2 linked regions of the Callithrix jacchus genome follow. The protein of the gene in region 1 interacts with the protein of each later gene in a pairwise test. Links are inferred from orthologs where the notes say so. Each region holds a gene or a part of one and is shown on either strand. Other genes may lie near its edges.

What was found. The genes of interacting proteins can lie anywhere in the genome.
Region 2: the proteins of BAD (region 1) and YWHAH interact in binary tests that used the Homo sapiens proteins (3 or more experiments, as listed by UniProt). The link is inferred for Callithrix jacchus from reciprocal best matches to the Homo sapiens genes BAD and YWHAH.

The regions. Positions count from the first base shown.
Region 1 is NC_133511.1:121,342,697-121,346,784, reverse strand, and holds the start of BAD (bcl2-associated agonist of cell death), read left to right. Parts: upstream 1-1,288; 5' UTR 1,289-1,778; coding exon 1,779-1,824; exon of another isoform or gene 1,825-1,908; intron 1,909-1,995; exon of another isoform or gene 1,996-2,118; intron 2,119-2,354; coding exon 2,355-2,549; intron 2,550-4,088. Other genes in the region: integral membrane protein GPR137, read right to left, coding at 1-197. UniProt on the Homo sapiens protein: Promotes cell death. Successfully competes for the binding to Bcl-X(L), Bcl-2 and Bcl-W, thereby affecting the level of heterodimerization of these proteins with BAX. Can reverse the death repressor activity of Bcl-X(L), but not that of Bcl-2.
Region 2 is NC_133502.1:202,419,032-202,422,975, reverse strand, and holds the start of YWHAH (14-3-3 protein eta), read right to left. Parts: upstream 2,801-3,944; 5' UTR 2,609-2,800; coding exon 2,522-2,608; intron 2,083-2,521; exon of another isoform or gene 1,834-2,082; intron 1-1,833. UniProt on the Homo sapiens protein: Adapter protein implicated in the regulation of a large spectrum of both general and specialized signaling pathways. Binds to a large number of partners, usually by recognition of a phosphoserine or phosphothreonine motif.

The DNA.
Region 1 (4,088 bases):
CAGAGGGCCAGGAACACCGTCTGATAGCTGAGACGCTTGTGCCCATACAGGAGCACCAGCCAGAGCTGGGCATAGACGGAGAAGAAGAGCAGGGCATACAGGGTGGTGTAGGCGGCTGTCAGCCCCAGGGTCACAGCAGGTGGCAGCGCAGGCACCAGCCCGGCAGCAGGCACCAGGCCAGACAGGTTACTCTCCATGTCAGGGAGGGAGGCCTGAATCCCTGAGACAGAGAAGGAGGGGCTGTCGGCGGGGCCAAGGAAATAAATACGGAGGGGTGGGAATTGCAGGGTGCAGAGAGGGAGATGGGGCGCTCAGGAGGAAAGAAGTTGTGGCTGACAGACCTCTCCTCCTCAACAGAGAGACCCCTGCCCTTGGGGAACATGGGCAGCCTGGGCCCCAGGCCCCTCACTCAGGGGCATGGAAGGGCAGTTTCTTCTCTCCAGGGCAGATCGGTTGAGGGTTGGTGGTGTCTCCTCCCTGGGCCTACCCCAGAGCCAGTGATGGAGGGAAGCAGAGGCCCAAGGAAAGGAGTCCCTGGCCTGAATCGCTCGTGTCGTCCTGGCTGGAGGGGGAGAGCCGGCCGATGCCCGTTGGCCCAGGGCAGCGGCCGCTATCGGGGGCGCCCAATGCCCCGCTCTCCCCCTCCCCAAGTTGGGGGAGGCTCTCTCCTCCAATAATGCGGATGGGGAGAGCCTCTGCCTTCTGTCCTCGGAATTCTCGGAGGCTGCCCCCGCCCCACCCCTCCACCGCGTCCACTCTCCAGCGTCAAGGGGCGGGAGGAGGCGGATGCCAGGTCCTCAGGCCGCTGCTGGGAGAGCCGGCTCAGATCGTGGGGACCCGGGGCTCCGGCTCCCCGGCTCCCGCTGCTCCGCCCCCTCCTGCGCCTGCGCGGGCGCCGTTCGCTACGCAAATTGCGCAGGGGCCGGGCTGGCTCCGCAGTCTAGCGCCGCACCCGGCGTGGAGCCGTTCGAGAATTGGCACGAGCTGCGCCGCTGGCGGGCGCCCGGGGTTACAGGAGGCGGCAGGCGGGCGGCCGAGTTGCGGGGGACTGTGCCGCACACAGGGGACCCCCGGGTAGGCCGCGCCCCGGGCCGCCAGCCTTTACTAGTTCGGGGGGCCGCCAGTTCCCACGCTTCTCTCCCCCATCCCCAAATTGGGGTCTTGCCTCCCGGCCGGGGACAACGAATCCCCGACCCTCGGTCTCTAAAGAAAACTTCCGCCCATAGCCAAGATGGCTTCCGGGCCCCGCCCCCGGGTCTGAACCCGCGGAGCCCCGAATCCCCCGCGCGGGCCCGCCCCCCGTCCTGGCGCGCCCGCGGCCCCGCTCACCTGGCCTGCCGCCTGCCAGGCGCGAAGCCCCCGCGGGCCCTACGGTCCACCCTCACTGGGTCCCCGGCCCTCCTCCCGCGCCCGGGCAGCCATCCCAGCCAGGGAGGAGGTTCCCTCCCTTATCTCCAGTGCCCCCGAGATGGCGCGGGAGGTGTCCCCCGAGGCGGGCGGCGCGAAGCTTCCACGCCTGGGAGGAGGAGCGGGGAACGGGACTTTCCGACCGGGTCACCCAGTCCAGGCGAAGCAGTAACAATAGCAACAATAATCGCATCCGACGGCTGAGCTTCAGTTGCGGCTGTGCCGAGCGCCTTCGCCCGTAGTAATCACTCCTTTCACAAAGTTTTCACTGGCTCCCGGGAGAGCTGTCACCATCCCCTCTTCACTGGAGGTAAACTAAGGCCCAGAGGGGCTGAAGGACTTGTCTGCAGAAGCAGGTCTCCAGGTTCCAAATGGGGACCCCAGAGAATCCCTCTCCTGCTCCTACACACATCCAAGGTGTGAGGCAGTAGGGATGTGAGAACCCGGGCCGCGGGAGGTAGGAAAAAGGCGGTGGGCTAGGAGGTCGGGACGAGGGGGGGCGGGGCCGGGCCGGGTTGACCCCGCCTCTGGACCTACCCGAGTGACGTTGCGAGAGGTGATTGGGGCAGGTCGCTGACAGTTCCCGTTGCCCAGGCAACTAGGGCCGGGAGCCCGGTTGCAGGAGGGAGGCGGCAGGCCCGGGTCAGGGGCCTCGAGATCGGGCTTGGGGTGAGACCTGTCCGCCGTCACCACGGGCGGGGCGGGACCTGGGTAGGCCCCTGGGTAGGGGCCTGGGTCCACCAGGGTTCTGACGGGAGACTGAGGTCCTGAGCCGACAGCCTCAGCTCCCTGCCAGGCCAGACCCAGCAGACAGATGAGGGCCCGGGAGGCCTGGCGGGCTTCGGGGCGCCAGGGTGGGAGAGGGAGCCAGGGGCACCTGCCTCTGCCTTCCAGGACCACCGTTGGCCCCAGCTGTGCCTTGACTACCTAACATCTTGTCCTCACAGCCCAGAGCATGTTCCAGATCCCAGAGTTTGAGCCGAGTGAGCAGGAAGACTCCAGCTCTGCAGAGAGGGGCCTGAGCCCCAGCACCGCAGGGGACAGGCCCCCAGGCTCTGGCAAGCATCGACGCCAGGCCCCAGGCCTCCCGGGGGACGCCAGTCACCAGCAGGGACAGTCAACCAGCAGCAGCCACCATGGAGGTGAGTTCCCCTCCGCCTCCACCTGCTGGGTCGCCTCACTTCCAGCCCATTGGCTCCCTGCATCCCAGCTGCATCCACACGCACTGAAGGCTTCGGGGCAGTCCCCAACCTCTCAGAGCCTCAGTTTCCTCTTTTGTAAAACAGAGCAATTAATCACCACCATTGTAGGACTGTTGGGTTAATTAGCAGGAACATATAGGATTCACTTGATTACAGAGCTGGTGCACATTAAAGTGGCAAAATGGCAGCTGCTGGGCCTGGTGGCTCACACCTGTAATCCCAGCACGTGGGGAGGCCAAGGCAGGAGGATCGCTTGAGCCCAGAAGTTCAAGGTGAGCCTGGGTGACATAGGGAGACTCCATCTCTTAAAATACATACATATATATATAATGGGTAGCTATTAGTGTGGGGCCAGGATAGAAATCAGTGACAGGCAGGCAGTGATGCAAAAAGGAAAAGTGACTTGCCTAAGGTTACACTTGCCTGGGGTTTCCTTCCTTAGGAGGTGGGGCTGGAAGGCTCCTTGGTGCCCTGCCCCAGGCTATGTGCTTTCCCTGGGATTGGGCCTTCCAGCTCCCGGGTGTGTTGTCTTGTCCTGTGGCTCGCACCCACAGCAAGGCTGTCCTGGTACAATTGCCAGGAGCAGGTGACCTCAAGGGGCAGACAGTCCTCCCAGACAGCGGGGCTATGTGTGGTGGGGAGCACAAGCTGCAAGATGGAAGGATGAATGAACACTGGGGGTCACGGCCATTTCTCAATAGGCTCCACTACCTTGTGCCCAGCACTGGCCTGGAACAACAACAGATAATTTCGGAACAAAGAAACTAGGTCAATCCGGGTGGGGTGGCACATGTCTGTAGTCCCAGCTACTCAGGAGGCTGGCTTGAGCCCAGGGATTCAAGACCAGCCTGGGCAATTCAGCCAGACCCCATCTCTAAAAATAGAAAACTAGGTCAGGTCACTATTGCACTGAAGCTTAAACGACCTCCTCCCCATTTTCAGGATTAAGAAGGCTTAAGAGGCCTCCTCCCTCTCCCTCTCTTACCACACACACTCACTCCCTTCCTCAGATTGGACCCTATAACTTGCTTTTTTTCTCTTTTCTTTTTTTTTTTTTGAGACAGGGTCTCACTCTGTCATCCGGGAGGGAGTACAGAGGTGCAATCTCAGCTCACTGCAGCCTGGAACTTCTGGGCTTAAGTGATCCTCCTACCCCAACTTCCCAAGTAACTGGGAATACAGGTGTGTGGACCACACCCAGTTAAATTATTTTTCACTTTTTCTTTTTCTTTTTAAAGATGAACTCTCACTCTCTTGCCCAGGCTGGAGTGCTAGGCCTCCAGGTGCAAGCTAGGAGTTAGCTAGGACTTCAGGTGCAAGCCACCACGCCTGGCTAATTTTGTGTATTTTTAGTAGAGACAGGGTTTCACCCTGTTAGTGGGTATGGTCTTGATCCGACCCCGATTTAGCCTCCCGAAGTGCTGGGATTACACTCATGAGCTACCACCCTTGGCATTTTTCGCTTTTTCATTAGAGACG
Region 2 (3,944 bases), on another chromosome or scaffold:
CTGCTAGTTCCTTTCAATATATATATTTTTATTTTATTATTATTTTTTTTTTTGAGACGGAGTTTCGCTCGTTACCCAGGCTGCAGTGCAATGGCGCGATCTCGGCTCACCGCAACCTCCACCTCCTGGGTTCAGGCAATTCTCCTGCCTCAGCCTCCTGAGTAGCTGGGATTACAGGCACATGCCACCATATTCAGCTAATTTTTTTTGTATTTTTAGTAGAGACGGAGTTTCACCATGTTGACCAGGATGGTCTCGGTCTCTTGACCTCGTGATCCACCCTCCTCAGCCTCCCAAAATGCTGGGATTACAGGCGTGAGCCACCGCGCCCGGCCCTATTTTTTTTTAAAGAAAACATCTATAAGCACAATATATTCCATTTAAATGATGGGAGGGAAATGGTTTATCATAATTCTGAGATGGGAGAATTAAGGCCTGGATTAACTCTTCAGTGCTGGGTGGCTTTTCCAACTCATTATTTCAAATACAGATATTATAAATTCCTTTGTTTTACAAAAGGCTCCCTTAACCGTCCAGAGAAAATCTATGGACACAAGTAGCGGGCTGCAGGAAAGCATTTTACAACCCTACTAGAAAGCCAATCTTTTTCCTTGCTCAAACTAGATTTCATTCTGGTAACATCTCTCCATTCTTGCCTTTTTCCCCCATTTCAAGTTGCCCCAGGTTTCTGATTGCTCCAGAATGCACCTTCCAACCATTTTTCCTTAACCTGCATTCCCCTTCCTTTAAACCTTGTCTCTTTCTTTTCACCCTATTTATTTCCCAAAGGGCTCCTAATACTGCAGTCTTTAAGTCTCACTCAGAGGGTGAGCAAGCACTTCACCAAAATACGTGGAGCGGCCTCAACCTGCATAATCCCAGTACCACTCAGTCACTGGGGAGAAGGGGCTTAAGTGTGACCTGCTGTGGACAGAGACAGCTTGCATTCAGTGAGTCCCATTTCTGTAAAATATGCAGAACTGCATTTTAGATTTTCTTTTAAGGGACCCCCTGAATTACCTAAGGTTCAGCCTCCAGACCTAGACCGTCCCCTGGGTTGGATGAAAACCTCCTGCCTAACCACAACAGCATGCTAGTAGTGCTCAAGTCAAGATCACCATCAAATCAACATTCGGGCAGTGTTGCTGGTTTCCACACACACCCAGTTATGTGTGTAACAAGGACACCACAGGAAAGGCAACTCTTCAAGTACCTTTCTTACCTGAACAATGCTGAACACTGGCCCCAACTACTTATTTCATCTGATATTAACATCAAAAGCCTTCAAATGAGCTTTCCAAAATTCTATGATTCTAAGATTTTAGGGAGCCTTTGTATTTGCAGTCTTTTCGGACCTCTCTCCAAAAGGCCAGGGAAAGGATACATTTGCTATAATCATGGGCAATGATTCTCAAACTTAAGCCAGCTAAAGACTGCTTGTGAGAGTTGGTTACAATGCAGATGTCTGAGTCTCACCACCCCCCCCCCGAATTTCTAAACCTATAGTAGGTCTAAGGCGGAGTTCAAGGGGATCCTCCCAAGTCTCAGGAGGTTGTATACTGAACATAGCAGGGTGGTGGCCGCAGTTGTATTCCACAGTGTGACCTTGACGCAGAGATAAGTAACATTCACTTAGAGAAAACATAAAATAAACGTGAAGCGAGAGTGAGCTGGTAACCGGAACTCAGAAATGCAGGTGGTGTATGACCCATGGTATTTTGCTAGGGTGTGGCTGGGCACGACTTCACCGGAATCGATTTATGCTGCAGAATCGATTTATGAGGGTCTCGGGAATGCAAAGGCACACAGGGTTCGTCTCACCTACAATCAGGTCTCATTTTAATCTCCAGGCAACCAGCGCAGCACCAAACCTGGGGCTGCGGAGTGAGGCCCCACACCCTCCGCCCCCTCTCCCGCCCTCGTCCACGCCGAGACTGCAGGAAAGGGGTCTTCGCACACAAAGCCAGACCCCAGGCGTGGGACGGCGGAACCAGAACAATTCGGACGAGCAGAGCAAAACAGGAATTACAGACTTCAGGTCGTGGCAGAGAAAACCAGCTGAGACACGGCGCCACTCACTAGGTGATTCTTTATTTCCAAGTTGGGGAACGGAGGAAGGCGAGAAGGGGGAAACCCCCGGGTGCGGTGAAACCGTCTAGAAGCGGGAATGCGGATCCTTCGCGTCCCCTCGTGCACCCCCTGCTCCCGCCCGGGCTCCCAACTAAGATGGGGCGACTTCCCACCGCCCGCCCTCCAGCCCCCGCGGAGCTGCCTCCGCGACTCCCAGCTGCTCCCTCCCGGATCCCCGACCCCGGGTCCAGCCTCAGGAAGTGGCGGAGAGCCCAGCGGGAGCGGGAAGCGCGGGCTGAGGGCGGCCACGCCCAGCCGGGTCGCCCAAGGCCAGGAGAACACCGCCCGCAGCCATCCCCGTCCTTCCCTAACGCCAGGCCCCTCGGCCGACCGGCCTGCCTGCCTGCCGGCCGGCCGACCGCCCGGCCGCCCACACTCCCGGCGCGCTCACCGCCTTCATGGCGGAGGCCATGTCGTCGTAGCGCTCCGCCTGCTCGGCCAGCCGCGCCCGCTGCAGCAGCTGCTCCCGGTCCCCCATGTCGCTCGCGGCTCGGCCTCGCCTCGCGCCTCACACTACTGACTCGCTCACTCGCCCGCCGATCCGTCCGCTCTCTGGTCGCCGCGGAGGCCGCCGCCGCGCACGCGCACTAGCTTGCCGGACGGCCAGAGGCTGCAGGCTGCAGGCAGCGCCGCCGCTCGCGCCCTCTCGCTGGCTAGCCCGGCGCGCAGTGGCTCGCGCCGCGGACGCCGCCGAAGGTGGAGAGACGACAGCGCTGGGGGATGGGAGGACGGCACAACGCCTGCGCAGTGAGAGCGGCCAGGCCCGGCGGCGGAGAGCGGCGGGAGTGGGAGGGGGAAGGGCGGGCCGGCCATAACGGTCTATTTCAAGGTGACGTCACCTACTATAAATAGCCACCGCCGCCGCCCCGCCCGAAAGCCGCGCAGGCGCTCTGCAAGTGCTGCATTTTACCGCCGCAGAGATGGAGGTGGAAGGGGTAAAACCGGGCTGGAGACTGCGGAGCCGGAGGAGGGGGCGCAGTGATGGTGGCTGCACGGGTAGTGCATTGTCATAGCCCCACCCTGAAACGCGCCACTCCATCCACGTTAGAGATCTGGCTTGGAACGGCCCCCAAAACAAACAAACCGGCCGGCGGAGAAGCCTGGCGGCCGCGTGCCCCAAGGGGCGGGTCAGGCCTGCCCCCGCCCCCGTCGTTCTGCCCGCTCCGAGCTCTGCCTGGGCTTGGGTTCTGCCGGGCCACACCCTGCCCGTGGGTCTGCACTGCTCCGGGCAGGATCGAGTCCTACCCTCGGGGACAGTCCCGCCACACAGGCACAGACACACACAATCGCACCCATCCTGAGACGTGGCCTTGGATATGCTGTGCCTTCTACCAGAGGAGAGGCTGGGACAAGTAATATTCAGGACACATTAGGAGCCAATCCACTGCTAGTTCCACACAAGCAATCTCTTTAATCCTCACTACCCAGCCCACAGTGGGCACAGCTGGTCTCCCCATATTTAAAATGAGGAAAAACGAGGCCAGTGACTTGCTCAAGGTTACACAGCCTGTAAGTGGTGGGGCCAGGATCTGAGTTCAAACTCAGGCTGGACTTCTTGTGGCAAAGGGCTGGGGTGTCCCAACTGGCTGGTCACTGAGCCACTCCCAATCCCAGGTGGCACTGAATGCTGAGGGTTCTTTGTGCTACCGTGGTCTGGGCTGCCCGACAAGCTAGGAAAATAATGATTAAAACAAGGCCCCGACTGATGTCAACATGCCAAGGGCAGGGCAGGAGAAGGGGCCTTGGGCTGCCTGAGAATTTTATTGAGCATCTACTGCATGCTCAGTGCACAAGGATAAGCTGGCTCTTGAAGG